Linked DNA regions of Stegostoma tigrinum. The protein of the gene in region 2 purifies or fractionates together with the protein of the main gene of each other region. This does not show direct contact. Links are inferred from orthologs where the notes say so. Each region holds a gene or a part of one and is shown on either strand. Other genes may lie near its edges. The genes, in order: rpa2, etaa1a and atr.

Region 1 (10,742 bases), on a different chromosome or scaffold from region 2:
ATATTGTCATTTTACCATTTCAAAATCTTTCAGCTTGTGATACGCAAGTATCTCAGTTTATTTTGTTTTATCTTTTGTTGATAAACTTTTGTTTTATTGTTAAATTCAAATTCATTGTGTGCTGGTGCATCAGTGAAAGACCACATTATTAAATTAGAAACAATAATGATTTATCAAGAGATTGTGGGAAAAGCTCAGCAGGTCCTACAGCTGTGGAGAGAAATCAGAGTTAATGTTTCAGGTCAAGCAACCCTTCCTCAAACCCAAGTTCTGAGGAAGAGACACTCCACCTGAAATGTTAACTCTGACTTCTTTTCACAGATGCTGCCACACCTGTTGAGCTTTTCGAGCAATTTCTGTTCTTGTTTTTGTTTCTGGTTTACAGCATCCACAGTTCTCTCACTTTTTAATAGAACATAGAACAGTACAGCACAGAACAGGCCCTTCAGCCCACAATGTTGTGCCGACCATTGATCCTCATGGATGCACCCTCAAATTTCTGTGACCATATGCATGTCCAGCAGTCTCTTAAATGACCCCAATGACCTTGCTTCCACAACTGCTGCTGGCAACGCATTCCATGCTCTCACAACTCTCTGCGTAAAGAACCTGCCTCTGACATCCCCTCTATACTTTCCACCAACCAGCTTAAAACTATGACCCCTCGTGCTAGCCATTTCTGCCCTGGGAAATAGTCTCTGGCTATCGACTCTATCTATGCCTCTCATTATCTTGTATACCTCAATTAGGTCCCCTCTCCTCCTCCTTTTCTCCAATGAAAAGAGACCGAGCTCAGTCAACCTCTCTTCATAAGATAAGCCCTCCAGTCCAGGCAGCATCCTGGTAAACCTCCTCTGAACCCTCTCCAAAGCATCCACATCTTTCCTATAATAGGGCGCCCAGAACTGGACGCAGTATTCCAAGTGCGGTCTAACCAAAGTTTTATAGAGCTGCAACAAGATCTCACGACTCTTAAACTCAATCCCCCTGTTAATGAAAGCCAAAACACCATATGCTTTCTTAACAACCCTGTCCACTTGGGTGGCCATTTTAAGGGATCTATGTATCTGCACACCAAGATCCCTCTGTTCCTCCACGCTGCCAAGAATCCTATCCTTAATCCTGTACTCAGTTTTCAAATTCGACCTTCCAAAATGCATCACCTCGCATTTATCCAGGTTGAACTCCATCTGCCACCTCTCAGCCCATCTCTGCATCCTGTCAATGTCCCGCTGCAGCCTACAACAGCCCTCTACACTGTCAACGACACCTCCGACCTTTGTGTCGTCTGCAAACTTGCTGACCCATCCTTCAATTCCCTCGTCCAAGTCATTAATAAAAATTACAAACAGTAGAGGCCCAAGGACAGAGCCCTGTGGAACCCCACTCACCACTGACTTCCAGGCAGAATATTTTCCTTCTACTACCACTCGCTGTCTTCTGTTGGCCAGCCAATTCTGTATCCAGACAGCTAAGTTCCCCTGTATCCCATTCCTCCTGGCCTTCTGAATGAGCCTTCCATGGGGAACCTTGTCAAATGCCTTACTGAAGTCCATATACACCACATCCACAGCTTGACCCTCATCAACCTTACTAGTCACATCCTCAAAAAACTCGATAAGGTTTGTAAGGCATGACCTACCCCTCACAAAGCCGTGTTGACTGTATTTGATCAAGCCATGCTCTTCCAGATGGTCATAAATCTTATCCCTCAGAATCCTTTCTAACACCTTGCAGACGACAGACGTGAGACTTACCGGTCTATAATTGCCGGGGATTTCCCTATTTCCTTTCTTGAAGAGAGGAATTACATTTGCCTCTCTCCAGTCCTCAGGTACGACTCCAGTGGAGAGCGAGGATGCAAAGATCTTCGCAAGTGGCGAAGCAATTGCATTTCTCGCTTCCCAAAGCAGCCGAGGACAAATCTGATCCGGGCCTGGCGACTTGTCAATCTTAATGTTTGACAAAATTTTCAGTACATCAGCTTCCTCTATCTCTATCCATTCCAGCATGCACACCTGCTCTTCAAAGGTTTCATTCACTACACAGGTCGTTTCTTTCGTAAAGACAGAAGCAAAAAACTCATTTAGGGCTTCCCCTACCTCCTCAGGCTCCACACACAAGTTCCCTATGCTATCCCTGATCGGCCCTACTCTTTCTTTGACCATTCTCTTATTCCTCACGTAAGTGTAAAATGCCTTTGTGTTTTCCCGGATTCCTTCTGCCAAGCCTTTCTCGTGCCCCCTCCTGGCTCTCCTCAGACCATTTTTGAGCTCCTTCCTTGCCTGCATGTAATCCTCTCTAGCTGAACTTGACCCTAGCTTCCTCCACCTTATGTAAGCTACCTTCTTCCTTTTCACTAGAAGCTCCACCGCTCTCGTCATCCAAGGTTCCTTTATCTTACCCCGTCTTGCCTGTCTCAGAGGGACATATTTACTCATCACTCCCAACAACTGTTCCTTAAACCATCTCCACATGTCTATAGTTCCCTTACCATGGAACAACTGCTCCCAGTCCATGCTTCCTAACTCGTGTCTAATCGCATCATAGTTTCCTCTTCCCCAATTAAATATCCTCCCATTCTGCCTAATCCTCTCCTTCTCCATAGCTATGTAGAATGAGAGAGTGTTATGGTCACTATCACCAAAATGCTCTCCCACCACAAGATCTGATACCTGCCCCGGCTCGTTTCCGAGCACCAAGTCTAGAATGGCCTCTCCCCTCGTCGGCCTGTCAACGTACTGCGTTAGGAAACCCTCCTGAACACACCTTACAAAAACAGCTCCATTCAAATCTTCTGCTCGAAGGAGGTTCCAATCAATATTAGGAAAGTTAAAGTCACCCATTACAACAACCCTACTGCGTCCACACTTTTCCAAAATCTGTCAACCTATGCTTTCTACAATCTCCCTGCTGCTATTGGGGGGCCTGTAGTAAACCCCTAACGAGGTGACTACTCCCTTGCTGTTCCTAATTTCCACCCATACTGACTCAGTAGGCAGATCTTCCTCGACAATGGAAGCTTCTGTAGCTGTGATACCCTCTCTGATTAGTAGTGCTACACCCCCTCCTCTTTTTCCCCCCTCCCTATTCTTTTTAAATGTTCTAAACCCTGGAATATCCAGCAACCATTCCAGCCCATGAGAAACCCATGTCTCTGTTATGGCCACAACATCATAGCACCAGGTACTGATCCATGCTCTAAGTTCATCACTTTTATTCCTGATACTCCTTGCATTAAAGCAAACACACTTTAACCGATCCCTTGGTTCCTTCCCAGGAAAATCCTTCCCACTAGCTGGTCTACCTCTTGCTACTGCCTCACCTGCATCAACGCTCACCTCTGGTATACAGCTCAGGTTCCCACCCCCCCTGCCATACTAGTTTAAACCCTCTCGAACTACTCGAGCAAACCTTCCACCCAGGACATTGGTCCCCTTCCAGTTCAGATGCAACCCGTCCTTCTTGTACAGGTCCCACCTTCCCCAGAAGGCATCCCAATTATCAACATATCTGAAACCCTCCCTCCTACACCAGCTGCGTAGCCACGTGTTCAGCTGCGCCCGCTCCCTGTTCCTCACCTCGCTATCTCGTGGCACCGGTAGTAAACCAGAGAACACTACTCTGTTCGTCCTGCTCTGCAGCTTCCATCCTAACTCCCTGAAATCACTTTTTATATCCTCAAACCTATTTCTGGCTATATCATTTGTGCCAATATGTAACACGATTTCTGGCTGTTCACCCTCCCCTTTCAGAACTTTATACACCCGATCGGAGACGTCCCGGACCCTGGCACCAGGGAGGCAACATACCTTCCGGGAATCCCGATCTTGCCCACAAAATCTCCTGTCGATTCCCCTAACTATCGAGTCCCCTACCACGAGTACTTTTCTATTCTGCCCCCTTCCCTTCTTTGCCACAGTGTCAGACTCAGTGCCAGAGAACTGACTACTATGGCTTTCCTCTGGTAGGTCAACCCCCCCAGCAGTATCCAAAACGGTATACTTATTGCTGAGGGGAATGCCCACAGGGGATCTCTGCACTGTCTGTCTGTCCCCTTTCCTCCCCCTAACTGTAACCCATCTATCCTCGTCCTGAGCCTTAGGAGTGACCAACTCCCGATAACTCCTCTCAATTACCCCCTCTGCCTCCCGAATGATCCGTAGTTCATCCAGCTCCAGCTCCATTTCCCTAACACGGTTTTCAAGGAGCTGTAGCTGGGTGCACTTCCCACAGATGTAGCCAGCGGAGACGTGTGCCACATCTCCCAACTGCCACATTCTGCAGGAGGAGCAAGCAACTGCCCTAGCATCCATACCCCACTTATCTGAACACCCACTCAGTACTAAAGCAGAAAGCTCACTTCAAGTAATAATAACAAATTAATAACAAACTTATGTTCAATAGAGAAAGTTTAGAATGAACCTTACCTTATTAACTAGGTTAGAGGAGGAGGGCGGGTGGGAGACACTACAGTTGTAGAGTCTCAGGTTAAGCCGCCTTGCTGAGATATATGGTCACTGCTTTCCTTCCCGGCTGCCCCTCTGGTCCTCGTCACTTCCTCTGATGCTCCCGCTCCTTCTCTGAAAGAGCAAAAAAAACACCGCTGCCCGCTACCGGTAAGTAATTTTAAAAATAAACTGCTTTACCTTAGCTGCAGTCTTCCGGGTCCGTCTTGCCTCCGCTGCTGCTCGCACTCAAAAAGGCCGTTGGCGTCGAAGGGTGAGTATTTATACTCACTGCTTTCCTTCCCGGCTGCCCCTCTGGTCCTCGTCACTTCCTCTGATGCTCCCGCTCCTTCTCTGAAAGAGCAAAAAAAACACCGCTGCCCGCTACCGGTAAGTAATTTTAAAAATAAACTGCTTTACCTTAGCTGCAGTCTTCCGGGTCCGTCTTGCCTCCGCTGCTGCTCGCACTCAAAAAGCAAAAATGATTTATCAATCCATGTTTCAGTCTGGAATCTGACTAGTTCAGAAATAACATCAGTGTGATCAAAACAACAATGTTGTTTCTTATTCATAGCCTTCATATCACAATATGATTCCATACTCCAGCTGAAATTATGTGCATAGCACCCTCAGAGCCATAAAGCACAGGAACACATCCTTCGGTCCAACTTGTCCATGCCAACCAAGACTCCCAAACAAAAACTAGTCCCATTTGCCGATTTTTGGCCCACATCCCTCTAAACCATTCCTATTCATGCACCTGTTCAAATGACTTTTAAATGTTGTAATTTTACCTGCATCTACCACTTCTGCTGGCAGTTCATATGAATGACCCTCTGTGTGAAAATATTGCTTCTTAGATCCCTTTTAAATCGTTCTCCTGTCACCTTAAAAATATACCCACTGGTTTTGGACACCATCCCAGTTCCCGTTCCCCCACCTCTCCAACCTGAGGGAAAAGACCTTTGCTGTTAATCTTATCTATGCCTGTCATGATTTTATAAACCGCTACAGTCACCCCTTAACCTCCTACATTGCAGTGAATAGTCCCAGCCTATCCACCTTCTTCCTATAACTCAAACTTTCCAGTTCTCGTAACATTCTGGTAAATCTTTTCTGAACCTTCTCTAATTTAATAATATCCTTCCTACAGCAGGGTGACCAGAACTGGACATGGTACTCCAAAAGAGGCCTCACCAACATCCTGTACAGCCTCAACATTACGTCCCAACCCATAAATTCAGTGGTCTGAGCAATGAAGGCAAGCATGCTAAATGCCTTCTTAACCACCCTGTCTACCTGTGACACAGCTTTCAAAGAATTATGTACTTGGACCCCTAGGTCTCTGTTCAACAATACTACTCAGGGCCCTACCATTAACTGTATAAGTCCTGCCCTTGTTCGCTTTGCCTTGCATTTATCCAAATTAAACTCCGTCTGCTACTCCGCAGCCCATTGGCCTAATTGATCAAGATCTCTTTGTATTCTTAGATAACCTTCGCTGTTGACTATACAACCAATTTTGGTGTCATCTGCAAACTTAAGAACCCTGCATCCTAAATTCTCCTTTGAATCTTTTATGTAAATGACGAATAACAGTGGACCCAGTGTTCATCCCTGCAGAACACCACTGGTCAGAGGAGCCTCCAGTCTGAAAAACAACCCTCCACCACCACCCTCTGTGCCCTGTCAAATCAATTTTGTATCCAACCGAAAAAGGTGTCCTTGAATCCCATGTGAGCTAACTTTGCTAATCAGTCTACCATGCGGAACCTTATCAAAGGCTTTGTTAAAGTCCACGTAGACAACATCTACCTCTCCGCCCTCGTTAATCTTTTTGAATATGTCCTGAAAAACTCAAATCAATTTTGTGAAATATGATTTCCAACACACAAAGCCATGCTGACTATCCCTAATTAGTTCCTGCTCTCCAAATGCATGTAAATCCGGTCTCTCAGCATCACCTCCAACAACTTGTACATCGATCCTTGAAAGTGGAGTCACAGGTAGACAGGGTGGTGAAGAAAATGTTTGGCATGCTTGCCTTAATTGGTCATAACATTGAGTTTAGGAGTTGGAATGTCATGTTGCAGCTATGTAGGACATTGGTGAGGCCACTTTTCGAATATTGCATACAATTTTGGTTGTTCTTCTAAAGCAAGGATGTTGTTAAACTTTAGAGGTCACAGAAAAGATTTACAAGGATGTTGTCAGGACTGAAAGGTTTGACTGATAGGGAGTGGCTGAATAGGCTGGGTTTTTTTTTAGCCGTAGTGTCGGAGACTGAGGGGTAACCTTATGGAGGTTTATAAAATCATGAGAGACATGGACAGGGTGAATAGCCAAAATATATTTCCTAGGGTGGGGAGTCCAAAAGTAGAGGTTTGAGGTGAGAAGGGAAAGATTTAAAAAGGATCTTAGGGGTAACTTTTTCCACACAGAGAATGGTGTGTGTATGGAATGAGCTGCTGGAGGAAGTGGAGGAGTTGGATACAGTTACAACATTAAAAAGGCACTTGGATGAGTAAATTGTAGGAAGGATTTAAAGGAATATGAACCAAATGCTGGCAAATAGGGCTAGGTCAGACTGGGATGTCTGGTCATTGTGGATGAGTTGGACCAAAGGTCCTGTTTCCATGCTGCATGACTCTTCGATTTCATGACAATGTAAGTTACCTACCTCTGATCCCCAAATCAATGTTGTGAGTTCATGATTCAGTCTGTGGACTTGGTCACAAGATTCTAGTGGTAAGGGAGTGAGATGTGACCTTGCTGTTCATGAGAACTTGCTTTCTATCTCCTTTTGGACATTATGAAAATCCATTATTGTATATCTGAATGTTTCTGATCTAATCGTTTTTTTAAAGTATCTGTTTGGTGGAATTATAACTAAGGAAAGATTTGCACTTTCCTCAGGCTTCCAGATGTCCCAAAGTGCATTCCAGACAATTAAGTATTTTTTGAACTGTAGTCACTGTTGTAGGAAATGTAGCAGCTGTCTTACACAGAGTAAGGTAGCACAAACAACCAGATAACCAGTAATGGTTGATGAGGATCTCTTGTCCAAGTCACACAGGAAGAATTGCATAGTTTCATTTCAAAACAGTGGCATGAGCTCTTCTAACATTAGCTTAACAGAGCAGAGCAGTCTAGCCTCAGTTTAATATCCCACCTGAAAGTTAACACTTGTGAAAGTGTGCCATTCTTCTAGTACTGCACTAGACCATCACTTGAAATTGTATACTAAATATCTGGTGTGGTATTGGAAACCACGGCTTTCGGACCGCAGAAGCGAAGGCACTATTGAAATTACACACATGGCTTCATCCAACAGTTAGCCATAAGAAAAACAGATTTGTCGTTCTTGGTCTATTGTCATAACATCCCATTCAGAGATGATATGCAACAGGAAAAAGGTATGATCACAGATTTTAGTTTACTCCCTGTGAACTATCATGAGCATACTTAGTTGGTTCAACTGCCCAGATGATGTTTAACACTGTGAATTGTACAGTTGTAGAACACCACCATGCTTAACATGTATTAACATGCAAATATATATGCCACACATGAATTAGGAACAGGAGGAAGCTGCTCTGCCATTAAAAAGATCATTACAAAGACTCCGCTAAGAAAGTATTTCTTTTCTGCTTTAAACAGGCAGGCCTTATTTTTGAGCAGTGACCCCAAAGTCTAGATTGTCCCACTAGAGGAAACATCGTTTCCATACTCACCCTATCAAGCCTTTGTTTCAGTCAAGTCTTTGTTTTGTCTTCGAAACTCCAGTACATACAATCAGAACGTGCTAACCTTTCTTCATAAGAAAATTCACTCATTCCAGCTGTTAAATCTTCTCTGAATTATTTGCAACAAATTTACATCCTTCCTTAATCAACGAGATCAATACTGAACGCAGTACTACACATGCAGTCCATAAGGCCATTCGGCCCATCGAGTCCACTCCGCCATTTAATCGTGGCTGATGGGCATTTCAACTCCACTTACCCGCACTCTCCCTGTAGCCCTTGATTCCTTGTGAGATCAAGAATTTATCAATCTCTGCCTTGAAGATATTTAATGTCCTGGCCTCCACTGTGGTCCGTGGCAATGAATTCCACAGGCCCACCACTCTCTGGCTGAAGAAATGTCTCCTCATTTCCATTTTAAATTTACCCCCTCTAGTTATAAGGCTGTGCCCACTGGTCCTAGTCTCCCCACCTAATGGAAACAACTTGCCAGCATCCACCCTCTCTAAGCCATACATTATCTTGTAAGTTTCTATTAGATCTCCCCTCAACCTTCTAAACTGTAATGAATACAATCCCAGGATCCTCAGCCATTCATCGTATGTTAAACCTACCATTCCAGGGATCATCTGTGTGAATCTCCGCTGGACATGCTCCAGTGTCATTATGTCCTTCCTGAGGTGTGGGGCCCAAAATTGGACACAGTATTCTAAATGGGGCCTAACTTGAGCTTTATAAAGCCTCAGAAGCACAAATCTCCCCAATACCCTGTATTAAAAGGGTAGGCAATGGCCTAGTAGTATCATCACTAGACTATTAGGCCAGAGATCTTGGTAAAGTCCTGGGGGCCTCAGTTTGAATCCTGACATAGTAGATGGAGGAATTTGAATTCAAGTAAAAATGTGGAATTAAGAGGTGAACGAGGACCACGAAACCATTGTTGATTGTCAGGAAAAACCCGTTTGGTTCCGAATGTCCTTTGGGGATGGAAATTGTCATCCTTTTCTTATTCTAGGCTACATGTGACTCCAGACCCACAGCAATGTTGGCTGACACTTAGCTGTCCCCTGGGCAGTTAGGGATGGGCAACAAATTACTGGCCTAGCCAGTGACGCCCACATCCCATGAATGAATAAAAGAAACTAAAGCATGACCTCTCCAGTTTGGTATTTAATTTCCCAATATAAATACAGAGAGAGAGTAAGGAAAATTCAGTACGGCACACTAGCTTCCCTTTCCTGAGTTAAATCAACTCCTTCAGTTTGAAGCTTCTCTGATTCCCTGCATTCACTAATATTCTATCACAAGTTGAGTGTAATGGCCATCAATTGGGAGAAGGTGCAGAAGAAGTTGAAAGGTGGATAATACACCTTGCCCAGATGGTCCACACCCCAGGGTACTGAAGGACAGGTCTAAGGAAATTGTGGTGGTCTTTCAGGAATCACTGAAGTCAGTGAAGGTCCCAGTGGACTGGAAAATGGCTAATGTAACACGTCTGTTTAAGAAGGGAAGGAAGCCAAAGATGGGAAATTGTAGACCAATTAGTCTGACTTCAAATAAAACTGAAAGTACTGTGGATGCTGTAAATCAGGAACAAAAACAAAGCTGCTGGAAAAGCTCAGCAGGGTTTTGAGGAAGGATCACCGGACCCAAAATATTAATTTTGATTTTTCCTTCACAGATGCTGCCAGACCTGCTGAGTTTTTCCAGCAACTTTGTTTTTGAATCTGACTCCAATCATCAGTAAGATTTAGAGCCCATTATTAAGAATAAGGTACTCGGAAGTGCATAGGAACATAGAGATGAGTCAGTATAATTTCATTAAGAGGGGGTTCTGCCTGACATTTCTGTTAGAATTCTTTGAAGAGGGAACATGCAAATTACACAAAGCGAAGTCAGCGGATGTGATCTATTTCGATTTCCAGAAGGCCTTTGACAAGGTGCCACAGGAGGCTGCTAATTAAGATACGAGCCCATGGTGTAAGGGGCAAGATTCTGGCATGAGTAGAAGATTGGCTGATTGGCAAAAGACCAAGAGCAAGGATAATAGGGTATTTTTCAGGATGGCAGCAGGTGACTAGTGAATTTCAGCGTGGGTCAGTGTTGGAACAGCGACTATTTGGCAAGGCCAAAATTTATTGTTCACCCCTAACTGCCAGGAGAGAATGGGGTGGAGAGCAACTTTCTTAAATATTGCATGCATGCCGTGCAGACACAACCGCAGTGCTCTAGTTCGTTGGGGAGTTCCACGATTTCGACTCTGTAACAGCAAAAGAGCGGTGATATAGTTGCAAGTCAGAATAGTGTGTAACTTGGAGGGAAATGTACAGGTGATGATGTTTCCATCATCTGCTGCCTTTGTCCTTCTAGATGGCTGAAGTCATGGGTTTGAAAGATGGCATCAAAGTTGAGGCAAATAGCACAGATGCATTTAAGGAAAAAGTAGAGAGTGTGTGACTGACACCTCATTTTCACCATGGACTTCCAGTTCCTATACACCTGCATTCCTCATGCAGATGGCCAGGATTGAAAAGAAAACGTTTGGAAG
Region 2 (10,023 bases):
AACTGTGCACAAAATTAAAACCAATTGCTAACCTCTACCACCATTCTGCACAAACACTAAAAGCAAAAAAATAGTCAGTGTTATTCAGCACAGAAAAGGACCCTTCAGTCCAATTCATCTGCGCCAACTAGATATCCTAAACTGATCTAGCCCTATCTAATAATTTCCATATCCCTCTAAACCATTACTATTCATGTATCCATCCAGATGCCTTTTAAATGTCGTAATTGTACCAGCCTCTGGCAGCTTGCTCCATACACGCACTGCGCTCTGCATGAAAAAGTTTTTGCTCAGTTCCCTTTTAAATCTTTCCTGTGTCACCCTAAACCTACACCCTATAGTTTTGGACTCCCCTACCCCAGGGAAAAAAACCTTGGCTATTCACCTCATCCATTGCCAATCACGATTTTATAAACCTCTACAAGATCACCCCTCAGCCTCTAATGCTCCAAGGAAAAAAGCCTCAGTTTATTCAGCCTTTCCTGACAGCATCTTAAACAAGGGAACACATTTTTGCATCAGAACATTTTCAGGGTAGGAGCCTTTAAAATGCAATGGCATTTTATACATTGGATTCATTTGAAGGGTTGTTTGAATGGAAAATTTTCATATTTATGTTCTAATCCAAATATCTTTTAAACAATGTAATTGTGTCCATATTCAACACTTTGTCAGAAAGTTCATTCCACACGTGAAAAAAAACTCCCTCTCATGTCTTTTCAAAATCTCTCTCCTCACCATAAAAACATGCTCCCTAGTCCGAAATCCCCCATTCTAGGGAAAAGACATCTACCATTAACCTTATCTATACACCTCATGATTTTATACCTTAGGAATGGATCTTGAATTCAGAAGTTCCTGACTCCAAGTCAAAAGGGAGATCTACTGATTTTAGGGGGGACATTGGACATGTGTAGCAAACGGTTATAGGTCAAAGAGTGAAAAGTATGTTTATAGGTATTTCAATCAAACTGCTCAGGTATGTTATTATAGTCATCTGGAGCAGTCGGGGCTTGAACCCAAATCTTCTGGCCCCGAGAGAAAAACACCACTACTACCCTGAAAGTACGCCTATACAGTATTCACTGCCATGCTTTTCTTCCCTCCCCTGATGAAGGTAATTCAGATACAGGATTAACTGCAGATGAGTCTCAAATTTCATACAGCATGTGTTTGTACAATGAAAGCCTAGATAAAATCTTAATGAATATGCCTAAACTGGTATTCAGAGTAGATAGAACCTTTCTTTTTTTACTGTGATTGTCTGCTTATGTATATACATCACTTACAGCTTCTCCCTTGTCAGATGCCAAGATGATTGAGTTACTACCGTGACAAAGGATCTTGCAAACTGTTAAGTGATTATTTTGCAAATGAATTTAAGAAGTCATATTCAACATCTTCAACACATCATCAAAGCATGAATATAGCAAATCTTCCTCACTTTTGCATCATCACTTGCCTCAACAACATCACTATCATGTGTGTGTGGCACCCACAGCTGAGTCCATGACATGCCTTCATCAGTCTAAGGTTTCTTCATATCTGAAGAAGGGTCCAGATCCGAAACGCCAGCTTTCCTGCTCCCCTGATGCTGCCTGGCCTGCTGTATGCCTCCAGCTCCACACCTTGTTATCTCAGACTCCAGCACTGGCAGTTCCTACTATCTCCAAGGTTTTACTTCTGTTGCTCTGCTCACCAGCCTTCTCTATCGCAATCATAAGCTTCACTTCAAACATAACATACTTCTGTCCTTACCCTCACAACATCCTGCAATCCACACTGTCAACCCTGACAAGTTGCTTAGAAATCTTTCCATGAGCTCATCCTCTCTTATAGAAGATTACTTCCGGTCTTAGGGGTTCACATTCACCTTTCCACTGTATGGAATTACTCTTCAATTCCCACTGCACCCCTACTCAATGGTTACAATGCCTCTGTCCATGTCACACCAAATCGCCTTGCCACATTTCCCGCAGTTTTAAAACTAAAAATCCTTCCTTTTGACAGTGCATTGTGTAACAAATGGGAACGGAAAGGCCATTCAGTCCTCAAGACTGATCAGGCAGTGATCAATGAGATCATGTCTTAGCTCCCGCTAATCTCATTAACACTCCTGGCTAGCAGAAATCTAGCAATGTCAAAATTTAGGAGTTATTAATTCAAGCAGCATCTACTTTTTTTGTGGGAGAGTGTTTCGCACCCTTCTACCACCCTTATCAGGAAGTAATGTTTCCTGATTTCAATCTAGACTTGGACCTCTCTCTTATTCTTTGCATTTTCCCTTACTTTTGTCCAATAATGATAGTTTGCCCAACAGCCACCTCTCTTCCCTTCAATGCCCTACTTTGGCTTTGGTGCCGTGTAAGCAGCATTTATATATTGTACTCCAACGTGCTAACATTCCTCAGGCTACTTCAGAGAAGCACTGTCATACAAATTCTGACATCATCATAAAAACAGTGACCAAGGCAAACAGGTGGGTTTTAAAACAAGAATTACAAGAGTAGAGATAACTGGTTTCTTTGCGGGGGTGGGGAATTCCTTGGCATAGGATCCAGGCATGACAGTTAATGGTGGAGCAATTAAAATTGAGGAAGCTGAAGAGGCCAGCACTGGAAAAATACGCTGGAGAGTATAGATGTCTCAGGGAGTTGTGGGTCTAGTAGAGGTAAGACAGAGAAAAGATCCGGATCATGGACAGATTGGAAATCGAGGAGATGTTTTAAACCAAAAGAACAATGCAGGCCAGACAGTACAAGGGCAATGGGTGAATGGGCCTTGGTGCAAAACTGTCTGCGCAGCAGTTTTCAATTAGTCCCACTCGTGGACGGAAGAAACGTTATCTTAAATAATGATATGTCCAAATAGATATACATGTACATCGTGCCCATACAATTATTGCTACCCTGGGTTTTTCTACTTATATTCTTGCTGCCAAAGCAGTATTTTGACTTTGAGCTTTTGACTTCCTGAGTTCTCTTTTGCTCCTTGGTTTTTGACTGACATTTTTAATTTAAATTTTGCCAGTTTCCTTTGCAGTTGATTCTCTTTTTTTTCCCCCTCCAAGCTCGTTAATCTCCCCCTAATCCATTTTCACCTATTCTTTTTACTACCAGTTTTGTTTTGCTCATCTTATTTTTGTTTTCGGCTGTTTAAATGGGTTTTAATGCCTTTTTTTAATCTAGCCTGTCTTTGCTCCAAGGGATCTTCAGTTTTGAACCCAGAGGTTTACTGATGACAATGTTTCTTACATTACTGCTTTTTGCTCCTATTTTGTTATTCTCTATTCCCAATGCTCAGCACTTTCTTTGCTAACCAAGTTTTATCTTTACACTTTCACTCAAATTCATAATCCCAGTTCCTAGATCCTTTTTTTTTGGTTACTCCCAGCTTTGGATGCTGTTTTGTTTTCCGGCCAATATAGTTTGTTTTTAATTCTCATTACTATTGCTAATCGATTTTGCATGTTTGCAGTATTTGTTGCTTCCAAATCTTTTTCACCCCTTATTGAATTTGGTTGTTGTAGTTTTGTTTTGACAACATCTGTGCTCCCAGCATTCTTTTTAGACCTAGACTTACGCTCAACTTTCCCCCCCCCCCATCATCTTAATGTTCCCAATTTTGTTTTTGGAAAGTTCCAGTTTTGGTGCTTAGTTTTTATTATTGCCAATACAGTTCTTCTGTTCTCAGTTTCTGGGGTTTATTTTGTGGCTGTAGCAGGCAGTTTTTTTGGGGGGGGATGGCCCTGAGTTTCTCTGCAATGAGGAGGGAGGGAGGTAGGTAGTTAGTTAGTGAGTGAGTGAGTGAGTGGCCAGGGGGGATGAGACAGTAAGGGACGCCGGGGCCAGTGTTCACCTTCAGGCGCCCGGGGCCTAGCGGCGGACCTAGAGCCTCGGCTCAGCCTGCCGGTCCGCGCCGGGGGGGTCAAGCCAGGGCCGGCTCCTCGCTCGCCAGAAGGCCCCGGGCTGGGATGCAGCCGTGTCCGCCTCGGCCTGGCGTTGGTGCTGCCGCTGCTCGTCGCCTCGTCCTCCTCCCCCTTCTTCTTCATCCTTCACTCGGCCTCGGCCGCCGCCATCTCGCCGCTGCCTTGGGATGAAAATAAAAACCCGTCGACACCGCCCCACCCCTTTAAGGGCCGCACCCCTTCATCCATTGGCTCAGGACGACGTCATACTCGCTTTCTATTGGTTGCGCCGTTGCTAGGGCCTGTCCCCGCCCCCTAGTAACCGTCCATCAAAGTTGGAAGGGACCTTGCGACAGGAGGCGAGGGCCACGTTCTGCAGGATGGTCTGTGAACCCGAAATGTGCGCTCTGCTTCCTTTCTCTACAGATGCTGCTAGACCTGCCGAGTTTTTCCAGCAATTTCGGTTTAAGTGCGAAAAAATCTAGCATTTATATAGCATCATCTGTAGCCACCCATTGCATTCACACAACCTGCTTCATCACCAAGATAATAAAATGTGAGGCTGGATGAACACAGCAGGCCAAGCAGCATCTCAGGAGCACAAAAGCTGACGTTTCGGGCCTAGACCCTCTCTGATGAAGGGTCTAGGCCCGAAACGTCAGCTTTTGTGCTCCTGAGATGCTGCTTGGCCTGCTGTGTTCATCCAGCCTCACATTTTATTATCTTGGAATTCTCCAGCATCTGCAGTTCCCATTATCTCTGCTTAATCACCACTTGTTGCATTTATCTACCATCTTCTATCACCAAGTGCATTCATATAGCCTCATTCATTACCACTTGTTAGACTTATATAGCATCTTCTATCGCCACACATTGCATTCATATAGCCTCTTTAATCACTAGTTCAAGCATTTATATGGCATCTTTGATCACAGTTGTTATATTCATATGGCATCTTCTATCAGCACTTGTTTTCATGCAGCATCTTTTATCACCATTTGTTACAGAGGTATAACATCTTTTGTCATTGGTCATTACTCATTTTGTCATTTATGCATCAGCTTTCATCACCTCTTGTTGCATGCACAGAACATCTTTTATCACCATTTGTATAGCATCTTTCAGCACCATCAGGACATTGCAATGCCCTCATCTGTGGAGTGATATTGAGATGGTGAGGGGCTGTGGATAGTGTTGATGGTAAGTTGGGGGAACACATGCTGTGACAACAGTAACGGTGTGTACTTGGTGTTCAGGGTATGGGGTGTGTTGGAGTGAGGGAGGAGTGGGGTGGGTGGGCTGGTGTTGTGCTGGGGACATGATGTGCGGGGTTGTTGCAAGCAGTGGTGTGTGACATGGATTGTCAGTGGCAATTGTGCTCAGGAGATATCTAAAGGGCCTAGGGTGTATGGAGGTGCATTGGGTAACTCCACCAATCACTCAAACTGCCTCTCCCTATAACTCCCCCCAAGGCCTGGACTTGCCCTCCCAACAGTGCGAATGCCCAGAGCAGACCTGAGTAGCCCCTGATCTGATTACCCCTAACTTACCTACCCACATTCACTTGCCATCATGTCTATCTTACTCATTCATACAATCACTAACATTCACAGTGGACCTTCGCACCACGCAAACGCCAGGTGACGATATGTCTAATAAGAGACAAACTAACCACCACTTCTTGACATTCAATAGTATTACCATCACTGAATCCGTCACTATCGACATCCGAGGGGTTCCTACTGACCAGAAACTTCACTGATTTATCCACATACAAGAGCGAATCACAGGCTAGGAATCTTGCAGTGATAGGTTTTGTTGATAGTGAGGAGGGTTATCAAAAATTATAGAGGGGCCTTGATCAGGACGGCACGGTGGCTCAGCGGTTAGCACTGCTGTCTCACAGCCCCAGGGACCTGGGTTCAATTCCAGCCTCGGGCGACTGTGGTGTGGAGTTTGCACGTTTTCCACATGGGTTTCCTCTCACAGTCCAAAGATGTGCAGGTTAGGTGGATTGGCTGTGTTAAATTGTCCGTAATGTTTAGGTGGGAAATGCAGGGATTGGATAAGGGGTGGATCCAGGTGGGATACTCTTCAGAGGGCAATGTGGTCTCGATGGGCTGAATGGCCTTTGCATGCACTGTAGGAATTCTATGACTAGGTGGCAAAGTGCGCTGAGGATTAGCAAATATAATTCAATACAGATAAGTATGGGATGTTTTACCTCACAGGTAGGACTTAGAGGTCCTCATAGAGGTAGGACTTAAATAGTAACTGGTAAGGTCCTCGAGACTGTTGTGGGACAGAGGGACCTAGGAGTACAAGTACATAGTTGAAAGCAACATCACAGGTAGACAGGGAGTTGAAGAAGCATTTAGCATGCTGGCCTTCATCAGTCGAGGCACTGAGTATAGGAGTTGGAATGTTATGTTGCAGTTGTATAAGTTGTTGGTGAGGCTGCACTTGGAGTATTGTGTACAGTTTTGGTCACACTGTTAGAGGAAAGACATAGTTAAACTGGAAAGTGTACAAAGAAGATTTACGAGGATGTTGCCAGGGCTAGTAGGCCTGATTTAAAGGGAGATGTTGGCCCAGGACAGCACTTTATTCCTGGGAACATAGGAGAATGAGGGGTGACCTTATTGGGGTGTATAAAATCATTAGGGGCGTAGATAAGCTGAATGCATGTAGCCTTCCTCCCAGGGATGGGGAATTGAAAACTAGAGAGCATAGGTTTAAGGTGAGAGGGGAAAGATTTAAGAAGGACCTGAGGGGCAGCTTCTTCATGCAGAGAATTGTGCGTATCTGGAATAGTCTGCCAAAGAAAGTGGTTGAGGCAGGTACAACAGCAACATTTGACAACATTTGGAAAGGTACTTGGATGGGAAGGGTATAAAGAGATGTGGACTGAATGCAGGCTGTTGGAACTAGCTGAGTTGGTGCTATGGTCAAATGGGCCTGTTTGCATGCTGTATTACTCAATGACTCCATGAGTAACTCCCCTCCTGACTCCCCAAAGCCTGCCCACCATCTACAAAGCACAAGTCAGGAGTGTGATGGAATACTCCCCACTTGCCTGGATGGGTGCAGCCCCAACAGCACTCAAGAAGCTTGACACCATCCAGGACAAAGCCCAGATGATTGGCACCACATCCACAAGCATCCACTCCCTCCACCACCAGTGCTGAGTAGCAGCAGTGTGTACCATCTATAAGATGCACTGCAGAAACTCACCAAAGATCCTCACATAGCACCTTCCAAACCCACGACCACTTCCATCCAGAAGGATAAGGGCAGCAGAAACATGGGAACACTACCCCCTGCAAGCTCCCCTCCAAACCACTCACTATCCTGGATTGAAATTTATCGCCATTCCTTTACTGCCACTGGATTGAAACCCTGGAATTCCCTCCCTAAGGGCAATGAGGGTCAATCTACAGCACATGGACTGCAGCGGTTCAAGAAGGCCACTCACCCCCACCTTCTTATGGGCACCTAGGGATAAGCAATAAATACTGGCCCAGCCAGCAACATCCACAGTTTGGGAGTAAATAAGAAAAGACGTGTAACCTTAGCTAACAGCAGTTAATGCCATTAAAAGAAAGGGGAGGTGTGTCCATTCTTCTCTCTGCTGCTTTAGTGGTGCCATGGAGATCTTTGAGTGACTGTATGTTCCATATTTCTACGGACGCTGTTTTGGGATAACACTGCCAGAAGTGCAAAGCAGCATCAGTCAGCCTGGCCAAAGGTTTAAGCAGTGCAGAAATCTTCTTCGGATTTCAATTTCACACACAATCTGGGACAGTCTCACTGTTAATGTCCATTCTGCCTTTAAGTCCAAATGATATCCCCCAGCAAGAGAAAGCCTCAAGCCAGTCCTTTTGATAACGTTGACAACTCAAATTTCAACAAATTAAATTCTCTTAAATAAATGTAGTTCCCAGAGATTTGGAATTGCTCTGGTTTCAATCCGTGTTTGTGTATTTAAAGCAGGATTGCAAATTATTTTCTGGCACAGTCCACTGGTTGTTACCTTAAAAAAATCCAGCTGCATCCAGTATCATGGATTTTAAATTCATTATATCTCCTTTGTTGCCATTGTAATAAATCTTAACATTTAACAGCAGCTAGTCCCTGTCTAAATAGTATGCCACCCAAATGTTACACTACATTTAAACAATTTTGCAGAGCAAACTTGGGTGGAACAGGATGTGATTACTTAATTTATCAAATTAGGTTCCTGAATAAAGCAAGTACAATATTCTCCCCGCTTAGATATAGTTTGAAATTTCTCAGACCCCGAGGGAATAACATTCCAGGATATAATTCACCTCTAAAATCAATACTATTTATTGCACAGATGATATATTTATCACCACTGTAGCAGGAAAGCATTGTCTTCAAACCAATCTTTAACAGATATAAACCTAACTATTTTTCTAAATAATGAATCTGCGTATTTCTTATTTGCTTTTGTTCGAAATGACCTGCATGTATGCAGCTGGTAAAACAATTTTGCATTTTTATAGAGATAACACGGTGTGGAGCTGAAGGAACGCATCAGGCAAAGAAGCATCAGAGGAGCAGGAAAGCTGGCTTTCTGAAGAAGGGTCCAGACCCGAAACATCAGCTTTCCTGATCCTCTGATGCTGCTTGGTCTGTATGTTCATCCAGCTCTACATCTTGTTATCTCAGATTCTCCAGCATCTGCATTTTTAAATCTCTGCATTTTTATAGCACCTTTTACCAGCTCAGGATGTTTCAAATTGTGTGCAGTGTAGCCTCTGCTGTCTTTGTAGGAAGCACAGCAATTAATTTGTGCACAAACTCCCTCCAGACAGCAAAGTGATGCTGGTTAGATTGTTTGTTTTTGGGGGTTAAGGGATAAATATGAACCAGGTTACCAGGAACAACTCACACTTTTCAGAAATAGTGTACAGCATCTTTTCTGTCCGTCTTCTTCACAACTTGCACTGGGCTCGAAATATTAACTCTGTTTCATGCTCCACAGATGTGCCAGACTCACTGAATTTTTCCAGCACTCTGTTTTGGTTTTAGATTTCCAGCATCTGCAGTTTTATTCCTTCAGCACTGTACTGGACTCAAAGAGTGCATTGCCTATTCAGCTGTGGTTATCGTCACCCAGAGTTCAGTTGGCTGGATGGCTAGTTTGTGCCACAGGGTGATGCCAACAATGTGGCTCAATTCCTGCATCTACTGAGGTTACCACGAAGATCCAACCTTCTTAACTTCATCCCTCGCCCGAAGCATGGTGATGATCAGGCTAAACTCACCACTGGTTATTTCTTTCTCTCGCCAATGAGAGAGCAGCCTTCGGGTCCTAAGGTATACTTACTTTACTGTCCTTACCCAAATAACTACCCTGCTCCAATATCCCATTTTTTCCGTTTGATTTACAACATCTTCTCTCACAATTCCCTGCCCACCTTACCCAACCTCTCCACTATTATTTGGCTAAAGCCCTCTCTACTACCTTAGTTATAAAATTCAACAGAACACTGATCCCAGCACTGTTCAAATTAATAACAAAAGCAGAAATTGCTGGAAAAGCTCAGCAGGTCCAGCAGCATTTGTGGAGAAAAAAATCAGAGTTAACATTTTGGGTCCAGTGACCCTTCCTCAAACCCAAACTCTTTCATATTTTAAAGGCAAGCGTAAGGTGTTATGTTTCCAATGCAGTTCAATTCAACATCGGACTTAAAACAAAACACACGTTACTCACACATTATTATCAAAATACAGACAAAATAAAAAGAAAAGAATTGGCTTAACTGTAATTCTATCAAAATGCTTAACAAAATAATATATATATTAACTATAACAAATTAACTGTTCCAGTATCGTAACATCTCATAAACACACCCTTGGAAAAGGCAAATTCAGTAAAATAGATTGTCTTATATGCAATTCTAGGAAGAGGAAGAGAACCCCAGGTTTTAGCTGGAGCAGAGAGAGGAATATGAGCTTTCACATCCACTTTCAAGACCTCAGCAATTGCCAAAAGTGAAAACTAAAAATCCTGGTTCTGTGGAAGCTTCTATTGTTCCAACTTTAAAAAACCCCAAGGCCTCACAAACCATTTACTTCTTTGGCTA
Region 3 (10,483 bases), on a different chromosome or scaffold from region 2:
CGCTCTCTGTGCCCTCATAAACTAGTGGCCCACCTCCAACGTTTCTCTCCTTGAACATACTGACATTTCCCAAATCAGCATCATCCTTTCTTTACTTTCAGATTACCATTAGGTTACATCAAAATGAATCTAAACCAAGTCATAAATGACTTCTCTGTTCTGTGGTCATTGTACATTATATCTGTTCAATTCCTCTTCAACTTTTCTACAGCTTTAGACACAACCAGTTGCAATGTCTTTTCATCCAGTTCAGTGGTACTCTCCTCACTTGGTCATCGATGGTTGCAGTTTTACTTCTGAGTATTGAGCTTATGGTCAACTGTAGAAACTTGAACACACAACCTAGGTCCACACATGACTACAAGGTTAAATAACATTCTGCTTTCTGACATGCCATCTTTCAGATCAAGCATTCGATCTAATATATGCACCTTGCTCTGATGAACATACACGGCTCTACTCAAAAAGGGGAAAGTTTTCCCAGTGTGCTGTGTGATGTAAGGTGAATCATTTATATATATTTCAATCAATATATTTGCTGACATCAATAACCTGATGCTTGCTGATTGCACATGCTCACAAGCAATTATTTCCAGCTGCATAAACACCCAGTCATGCAACATTAAGTCATTTCTTCAAAATTACCAATGCTACTTTGCTGAACATGTTATTTTTCTTAAGCCTAGTATGTTTTTTCATACTTTTCCATTAATTGGTACTTGACACTTAAGTATGTTTATGGGATATATTGCTGCTCATGCAAATGCTCTCAAGTACCAGCATGTGCATCATTCATTTTGGATTTTTTAATTTTGAACTACTGGCATGAGTTTTCAGTGTTTCTCTGAGGGGATTTAACCATTAACTTAGCTGTATTTCTGTAACCAAAGTGACTAATTTTAAAACACAGTTTGAGACACAGACTTCCTGGACAAATAATAAGGTTGTTTTCATTTGAAAAATTTACAAGAAACCAAAAAAGAACAGTGTAGTTTATTAGGCTTTGAGATCAGAAACTTTACTTTCAGATTACCATTAGGTTACATCAAAATGAATCTAAACCAAGTCATAAATGACTTCACTGTTCTGTGGCCATTGTACATTATATCTGTTCACTTCTTTGGGGGCCTCAGGGGAAATACCGACAAGTTAGTGAAACAAAGTTTCTGGATTTTATTGGGCAGTTTGGCAAAGTCTTAGCTAAAGCTGAATATGTAAAGTGTCTATGTTTGGCTTGGGCTACTATAGTTACGTTGTAAAAACCAAAAGAACTGTGGATGCTGTTGATAAGGAACAAAAACAAAGTTGCTGCAAAAGCTCAGCAAATCTGGCAGCATCTGTGGTCCAGTGACCCTTCGTCAGAACTGTAGTTTCACTGACCCAGTTAAACCGGTGGCCTTCATTATCCGAGTATACTGATATTAGGGAAAGTTCATTATGAATATGTAAAAGAAAGGGAGGTGGTTTAGGACAGTTAAAAAAGAGACAACCTCAGTGTAAGGACTTTTCAACTAAAGTTCCAGACTGTAAAGTTAAATTCCTGAAATGGTCTCCATAAGTCTCCAAAGAGAACATTCAGATTCTGAAAACAGGGTCAATGATCTACAACTAATTAAATTAAACCTTTTGGTGTGATATAGAAGAGGATTCTCTATTGTCCCACAAAGGAGGGTTTCTTTTGGGATTAATGGATATTTTTAACCAAAAATGTGTTTCGAAGTCTATAAGTTGGTTATATGTTTAAGTAGTTTTTTTTTAATCTAACCTATTTTTCTAATCAACCTGTCAGAGATGTTACTAAACATCTTTGGAGGAGATGGGATTTGAACTGAGCCTCCAGGTCCAGGTGTAAGGACATGACCACTGTGCAACAATGTTTATTCAAGTTTATTTTCATTTCTTTCTCCTAATAAAATCTGAGTCCACAGTATTTCATGTTTGGTTGAGGTTTTTGCAAAGATTTGTAGCACAGATTGTGGATGAAGTTGTTGACTTGCTCGCTGAGGCAGCTTGTTTCCTTTCAGACATTTAGTCACCATGTTAGGTAGCATCGTCAGTGAGTCCTCTAATGAAGCGATGTTGTTCTACTCTGCTCAGAATTTATACTGTCTGTCCGTTACCGTGAGTTGTGTCATTTCCAGTTTTGTTCTCTATGGATTTGTACACAGAGTCCAATTCCACATGTTTGTTGATTTCATTCTGGGTTGAGAACTATGCCTCTAGGAATTCCCATGCGCATCTATGTTTGGCTTGGGCTATTATAGTTACATTGTCCCAATTAAATTGATGGCCTTCATTGTCCGAGTGTACCCGATATTGAGGAAAGTTCATTGTGTCGTTTTCATGCTAGCTGATGTTCATGTATTCTGATGGCTAGCTTCCTTCCAGTCTGTCTGATGGAATGTTTATGGCAGTCATTGCGTGGTATTTTGTCAATTAGGCTGGTTCTGCATGTCGTGAGTATGGGGTCAATCCTTGTGAGTGTTTGTCATCGTGAGGCTATGGACTTGTGTGCTTCTGTGATTCCTAGTGGTCATAGGAGTCTTGTTGTCAGTTCTGCTATTTTCTTGATGTAGGGCAGTGCGGCCAGTGTGATAGAGCATAGTGTCCTCTTGTTGTGTATTTAGTAGGCACCTGTGGATGAAATTGCAGGGATATCCATTCATAGCAAAGATTTGGTATACAGAAACCACAGCGTCCACAGCAAGAACACCAAAGTCCACAAACAAAGCTGTGTTAGGGCACTATTTAAAAATGGGCCACCACTCACTGCAGCATGCCAGGACTACACAGGAAACAGAAAGAGCATCTATACAAAATATTGAATATGAGATTAACTGCAATTTCTGCCATCGAAATGTTGGGAACATCAAAACCATTTTCTCTAACCACTTCAGCTATCTTCATTTCACCATCACAACTTTCGCCACTACTTGAAGCTAAATCAGCCTGTTGTTAACCCAAACATCTTATTTCATCCTGATCAAGGCTTTCAACTTATCTTCCCACCTCTAAGAAGGAAGCTAACACAACAATGTGTCGTTGAAATCCTCAATTACATCATTGTGAATTTCACCTATTCCACTGCTCCTCAAACTGCTTTGTGCCTCTGATCCCTTATCAGATCCTATTTTTCTCCAACTTTTCTGTCTTTTTTGTCTGACATCAACATTCTTCCTACTTCTTGGACGCTGTAAGACTTGCTTACCACAACCTTGGAACAGTACATTACTTTACCACCAATTAAGTACGTGTTCAAAAGCTGTCAACACCACAGCCAATTCTCATGCAACAAAATCATACACTGTAGCATGATATTCGGGGGAGGCGATGGCCTAGTGGTATTATCGCTGAGTGACCTAGGTAGCATTCTGGGGATTCAGGTTCAAAGTCTGCCATGGCAGATGGTGGAACTGGAAAGCTATAAAAATCAGGAATTAAGAATTTTACAACGACCATGAATTCATTGTCAATTTGTGCAAAACCCATCTGGTTCATCCGTGCCCTTTAGGGAAGGAAGCTAAATCCAGATCCACAGTAACGTGGTTGACTCCCATCTTGGCAATTAGAGGTCGGCAATAAATGTTAGCCTAGCTAGTGGTGCCTCTATTCCACGAATGAACTTGTTAAAAAATTCACTAAATCATTTGTTTTGGAGATGTTATTCAATGGATATGTACTGACTACACATCAGAGAGAATTCCTAAGGTCTCCTTCAACAGAGTCCCACTGGATATTTTGGCATACAATTTAAAAAAACCTAAGGTTTCAGTTCAACTTCTCATCTAAAAGATACTTCCAACAGTATTGGAGCTTCTCAGGCTAGATTTTGCACACACAATCTGCAACAAGCCATGATCCCACACGCAAGTGACACTTAGGTGATGAAGCCCCAGCTATGATGTCGTGCCAGACATGATCTAAACAAGTGAAATTATAAAGCACATTTGAAGGGCTCTTGCAGTGCAGTGGCCCAGCAGGCTTGGGTTCGAGTCCCACCTGTGCCAGAGATATATCATAACATCTCAGAACAGGTTGATGCTCAGCATCATTTTGTCTCTCAGATTTATGTTTGATTCGTATTAGAAATAAGGGCTCACTGCCTAAAAATTGTGTGCTGTGCTTCCCTTCATTTCATCTGATGAAGGTGTAACATTCCAAAAGCTTATGCTTCAAATAAACCTGTCAGACTATAATCTATGTCATGTGATATCTGACTTAGAAACAAAATAACATGCTGCATTGAAATGACCAAGGGTCAATATCCCTGTACCATCAATCAAATATATATTTTTTCACCAGTAGCAGGCAGTAAAATCTAAAGCATGGACAAAAGTATTAACTAGGGTAGGGTCGATGGACCCAATGGCCTTCCTATTTCTTATGAGATTTTAAACTGTGTAAGAGCATTTCAAATAAAAGACACTTCACATTCGACAATAAATCAATCGAATATTATGCATGTGAATGAGAGAGATTTGAAGAGTTCATCCGGAAGCTGTCAGTGGAGGTCCCCAGGACAGAGGAGACGGTTCTGGAAGGTCCTGAGGCCGGGGCCTAGTCTCTGCTCCACGACAGGGGAGCGAAGGCACGAAAGCAGCTCACCTCTCCAGCTCCCGCAGAGCCGGCAAGATGGAGGCCATCTCCAGGCCCTGTTCACACATCCTGACAAATACTCCCGCCTCCCGAAGGCAGTGGACGGTTTCGCCTTAAAATTATTCACGTTCGCCCAGCGCGGTCCCAAAACCGCGCCACCGGCCTGGCCCCGCCCACTGGGAGGGGGGGGGGGGCAAGCCGATCACAGGCTTCGCCCAATCGATGCGCAGGACGTTGCGATCGCTGACCGCGCCCTATCCGTGCGTGAGGCGGGGCGTTCGCTGACCTCGCCCAATCGGAGCACAGGGCGTGGCGTTCACTGACCACGCCCGTTGCACGGCACGGGGCAGGGCGCACCAAGAGCCCACCTACGCGGGCCAGGGGGTGGGGAAACCACTGTCCCCGTTGGGCGAGGTGGGCGAAGGAAGTGCAGCCCCACCTTGGAGCCGCCACGGTCCACTCAGAAATAAGGGCGCGGTTTCGGTCACCTGCGACCCCGCCCATGTCCCGACAACCCGTCGGTGACAACTCTTTCCCCCCCGCCAAAACCAGGTCGCTTGGAGCCCTCTGATTGGTTTGGCCTAACGTCCCCGGATTGGCTCCACGGTGGGAGCAATCTGATTGGTTCAAGCCTTGGGGCTGTCGCACCTGCGTGTTCCCCGGCGCATGCGCTAAGTTTGAATGCGGTCGGGAGCGGGAGGATCGGTTATGGTCAAAATTCGACGGATGCGGAAGCAGGCTACTCGGCCCATTGAGTCCATTGTGGGCCTTAGACCCACCTCTCTGTACCAGCTCCCTGTTCAGGGTTTGACTGAAGATCTGTGGCTGGGGCCTTGGTTGTAGATGTTGGTGTGTTCGCCCGAGCTGGGAGGTTTGATAGCAGACGTTTGGCCCACTTACTGGGTGACGTCCTCAGTGCGATGGAGCCTCGCGTGAGGTGCTGTTGTCTTGAGCCATTTCGAATTGCTGCTTCCAGTAGCTACCGGTGCCGGTTGTGCGTTGTAATGGTCGGCACACCGGGTCTAATTCAATGTCTTTGCTGATGGCATCCACAAACGAATGCCTAGCCTCCAAGAATTCGCTGGCTGGCCTCTGGTTGACCTATGACAGTGGTATTGTCCCAGTTGAGAGTGTGGTTTTTCTCGTCTGTGTGTATTGAAAACCAGGGACATCTGGTCGAGTTATTTATTTGCTAGCTGTTGTTTGTGGATGCAGATTACTAGCCTGTTTGTCCCATGTAGTGTTTTATGCAGGCGCTCCACATGGCAGTCTTTCACTCTGGTCAGTTGCTATCTTAATGTGGCTGCCAGTTTGTGTGCTGGCATGATTCCTAGCAGTCTGAGTAGTCTGGCTATCAATTCTAAGGTGTTCTTTATTTATGGTATAGTGGTTATTGTTTTGGGTTTTGTTGCCAATTGGCTAGGGATCTGTGGAGGAAGCTGCGGAGGTATCCATTCCTGTTAAAGACTTTATAGAGGTATTCTTCTTCCTTCTGCAGATTGGGTGTGCTGCAGTGTGTTGTGGCCCTTTTGGACCAGGTCCTCATGCAGCTCCTGTTGTGTGACAAAAAACAGAAATTGCTGGAAAAGCTCAGCAGGTCAGGTAGCATCTGTGAAGAAAAGAAATCAGAGTTAATGTTTGTGTGAGTTGTGTCGTTGCCATAATAGTTTAAGACCTGGTCAGTCTCTGTGAATTTCCTGTGCACTTTTGTAGTGAAGTCACCGTTCACTTTTCTTTGCACCATCACATCCAGGAATGGGAGTTTGTTGTTAAGACCATAAGACATAGGAGTGAAAGTAAGGCCATTCGGCCCATCAAGTCCACTCTGCCATTTAATCATGGCTGATGGGCATTTCAACTCCACTTCCCTGAACTCTCCCTGTAGCCCTTGATTCCTTGTGAGATCAAGAACTTATCGATCTCTGCCTTGAAGGCATCTAACGTCCTGGCCTCCACTATGCTCCGTGGCAATGAATTCCACAGGCCCACCAGTTGTTGTTTTCCTCTTCTCTAGTAAATTTGATCCGTCTGAGTATGGTGTTGTTGAGTCAGTGGGTGTTTTCAATTTCTGATCTTTTCATAGTTACAAGTGTCATCCGTGTGTCTGATGCAAAGCTTGGGTTGGATCTGTGGGTGGATGGTTGTTCCAGTCTTTCCGTGACTACCTCCGGTATCAGTCCAGAGATGGATGAGCCCATGGGAATCCTGTTGATCTGCTCATATCTCTTGCCTTCGAAAGTAAAGTGTGTTGCTAAGGATAAGTCCAGTAGTTTGAGTACACAGTGTTTGTTGATCTGTTCCTTGTTTTGCCATCTCCTGTGTTTGTTTAGTGGGTTGGATATGGCTTCTTTGGCCAGGTTTTTGTCAATTGATATAAACACTGCTGTTATATCAAGCGAGATCATCACTTCTTTGTCTATTTTAGTGTTCTTGATGTTGTCCAGGAATTCTTGTGTTGGTTGTACGAAGTGTCTTGAACTACTGATTAGATGTTTAAGCTTTTATTGTAGTTCCTTGGCTAATTTGTGTGATGGGGTTCCTGGTAAAGCCACAATTGGTCTGAGGGCTATGTCAGGCTTGTGGAAGTTGGCCAGTCCGTAGAATCTTGGATTGTTGTTGCCTTCAGGTTTCATTCCTTGTAATTCTATATTTGTTATCTGTCCCGTTTTGTGTTTGTTCTGTAGTGTATTGGCTATTCCGTTTGTTAGTTGTGGGGTCCCACTCCCTCTGTTGGTAGTTTTGTGTATCTGTAAGTAGTTCTACAACTTTTTGTATGTAGTCAGTTTTGTTCATTGCCATAGTCATTCTGCCTTTATCATCGGGAACGATGATGTTTTTGTCCTTTTTTGAGGTTCTTCAGGGCACCCCTTTCCTCTTTGTTAAGTATGTTCATTTGTGTTCCCCTTGTCGGTAGGTTCTGCCTGATCATTGATAATAAAATGTGAGGCTGGATGAACACAGCAGGCCAAGCAGCATCTCAGGAGCACAAAAGCTGACGTTTCGGGCCTAGACCCTTCATCAGAGAGGGGGATGGGGTGAGGGTTCTGGAATAAATAGGGAGAGAGGGGGAGGCGGACCGAAGATGGAGAGAAAAGAAGATAGGTGGAGAGGCATTCTCCAGCATCTGCAGTTCCCATTATCTCTGTCTGATCATTGTTGTGTTTCTTTGTTTAGTCCGTTGTTTTTGAGTGTGGACTCTAGTGCTGCCAGGAAGTCTTTTTTTCAGCAGTTGCAGTTCAGTCTTTTGATTAGTACTAGTTTTTTTTCTGTATCTGTGAGCAGTCTGTTGGAGAGGTACCTTATCCATTTGTCAGTCATGTGTGTCCTCTGTCATTGGTCAATTTAGTCATTTTTTTCTGTAGTGCTGTTTTCGTTTCTGTGTGTGGGGTTCAGTTCTGTGTTATTGTGATGGCCCATTTGATTCTCGTAGTCCATGCCTGATTGGTCGCTTTTGAAATTATCGACTCTTGGCGCATGATTTCTTGTTTGTACTTGTGGGGTCAGTAACAGGCATCTATGATCATGACTTGTATCATCCTGCAGCCATTCTGTCTGGCTGTTTCTCTGGCATGTGGGTTATTTACTGAGATCATGGGAACTGCAGATGCTGGAGAATCCAGGATAACAAAGTGTGAGGCTGGATGAACACAGCAGGCCAAGCAGCATCTCAGGAGCACAAAAGCTGACGTTTCGGGCCTAGACCCTTCATCAGAGAGCTTTTCTTGGGAGTGGAATGCCTCATCCTGGGAGCAGATGCGGCGGAGGAAAAGGAATTGGGAATAGGGGATGGAATTTTTGCAGGGGGTTGGGTGGGAGGAGGTGTATTCTAGGTAGCTGTGGGAGTCGGTGGGCTTGAAGGGTCTAGGCCCGAAACGTCACCTTTTGTGCTCCTGAGATGCTGCTTGGCCTGCTGTGTTCATCCAGCTCCACACTTTGTTATCTTGGATTATTTACTGGTTGTCTGTACCTTAAGTACGGATGTTGTAGTTGTTTGTTGTGGCACTCGTGTAGGAATGTGAGTTGTTGATATGTGGTGCTTGTTCGGTTCACACAGGATTCCTACTTCCTTGTTTGGTTTAGCGTTTCATGCCTATAGGTATTTAGGGTTTGAGTGAAGATTTGTAGCTGGGGTGCTGGTTGTAGATGTTGGCGTGTTCACCAAGCTGGAAGGTTTGATAGCAGACGTTTCGTCCCCCTTACTAGGTGACATCCTAAGTGCTGTGGAGTCTCCCGTGAGGCGCTGTTGTCTTGTGCCAGTTCAAGTTTATATGGTCCGGCTTTTGCTGATTCTGGTTCTGGATGCGGTGGTGGAAAGAAAACAGAATGGTGATATTACTACAAAAGTGTACAGGAAATCTACACATACTGACAAAGTCTTTCACTATCACGGCAACCACCCCCACTCACACAAGAGGAGCTGCATTAGGACCCTGTTGAAAAGGGCTGCTACGCACTGCAGCACACCCAATCTGCAGAAGGAAGAAGAAGAACACCTCTACAAGGTCTTCACCAGGAATGGATACCTCCACAGCTTCATCCACAGATGCCTAGCCAACACACAATCAGGGGACACAAAACCCAAAACAATAACCACAATACCATACCATGTATAAAAAAACACCTCAGAACAGACAGCCAGACTACTCAGACCACTAGGAACCATGACAGCACACAAACCGGCAGCCACACTAAGATAGCAATTGACCAGAGTGAAAGACCCAATAGATACCATGGACATAACGGATGTGGTTTACAAGATGCCATGCGGAGACTGCACAAAACACTACATGGGACAAACAGGCAGACAACTAGCGACGCACATCCACAAACACCAGCTAGCAACTAAACAACATGACCAGATATCCTTGGTTTCAATGCATACAGATTAGAGAAACCACACTTTCAACTGGGACAACACTTCTCACATTGGACAAGTCAAACAGAGGACAGCCAGGGAAGTCGTGGAGGCTAGGCATTCGTCTGCAGACTCCATCAACAAACACATTGAATTAGACTTGGTACACTGACCATTACACGCACAGCCGGAACCAGCACCTACTGGAAGCAGCAAAAACCAGACCATGTAAATCCCAAATGGCACAAGACAACAGGGCCTCACAGGAGTCTCCACAGCACTGAGGATGTCACCTAGTAAGGGGACGAAGCATTTGCTATCACACCTCCCAGCTCAGCAAACACACCAGCACCTACAACTATATCCCTGTATTCCCATGGCTAACCCACTCAATCTGCAAATCCCTGGACACTATGGACAATTTAGCATGGTCAATCCACCCTAACCTGCACATCTTTGAGCTGTGGGAGGAAACAGGATTCAGAGGAAACCCATGCAGACATGGGGAGAATGTGCAAACTCCATGCAGACAGGCACCTGAGGGTGGAATTGAACCTGGATCCCTGGTGCTGTGATGCAGCAGCGATAACTAGTTAGCCAGCTGATGTGTTTTTGCACCGCTTTCTGTTTTTATTTTGGATCACTAGCATGGCCAGAAAATGAATTGGATTTGTCATATAAGTGGCCATAACAGCAGGTCAGAGATTAGACTACCTACAGCGTGGAAACAGGCCCTTTGGCCCAACAAGTCCACACCACCCCTTGAAGCATCCCACCCAGACCCATCCCCCTGTAACCCACACAGCCCTGAACACTACGGGCAATTTAGCATAGTTGATCCACCTAGTCTGCACATCTTTGGACTGTGGGAGGAAACCGGAGTACCTGGAGGAAACTCACGCAGATAACAGACAATAGACAATAGGTGCTGGAGTAGGCCATTCGGCCCTTCGAGCCAGCACCACCATTCATTATGATAATGGCTGATCATCCACAATCTCTATCCGGTTCCTGCCTTATGCCCATAACCCG

The links.
Region 1: the proteins of etaa1a (region 2) and rpa2 purify together in Homo sapiens (affinity purification with western blotting; 4 studies listed by BioGRID, with this or other methods). This does not show direct contact. The link is inferred for Stegostoma tigrinum from reciprocal best matches to the Homo sapiens genes ETAA1 and RPA2.
Region 3: the proteins of etaa1a (region 2) and atr purify together in Homo sapiens (affinity purification with western blotting; 3 studies listed by BioGRID, with this or other methods). This does not show direct contact. The link is inferred for Stegostoma tigrinum from reciprocal best matches to the Homo sapiens genes ETAA1 and ATR.

Annotation. Positions count from the first base shown.
Region 1 is NC_081377.1:37,459,162-37,469,903, reverse strand, and holds the start of rpa2 (replication protein A 32 kDa subunit), read right to left. Parts: upstream 4,906-10,742; 5' UTR 4,431-4,905; intron 1-4,430. UniProt on the Homo sapiens protein: As part of the heterotrimeric replication protein A complex (RPA/RP-A), binds and stabilizes single-stranded DNA intermediates that form during DNA replication or upon DNA stress.
Region 2 is NC_081362.1:3,832,989-3,843,011, reverse strand, and holds the start of etaa1a (ewing's tumor-associated antigen 1), read right to left. Parts: upstream 4,103-10,023; 5' UTR 4,052-4,102; coding exon 3,859-4,051; intron 1-3,858. UniProt on the Homo sapiens protein: Replication stress response protein that accumulates at DNA damage sites and promotes replication fork progression and integrity.
Region 3 is NC_081367.1:73,392,974-73,403,456, reverse strand, and holds the start of atr (serine/threonine-protein kinase ATR), read right to left. Parts: upstream 4,765-10,483; 5' UTR 4,665-4,764; coding exon 4,606-4,664; intron 1-4,605. UniProt on the Homo sapiens protein: Serine/threonine protein kinase which activates checkpoint signaling upon genotoxic stresses such as ionizing radiation (IR), ultraviolet light (UV), or DNA replication stalling, thereby acting as a DNA damage sensor.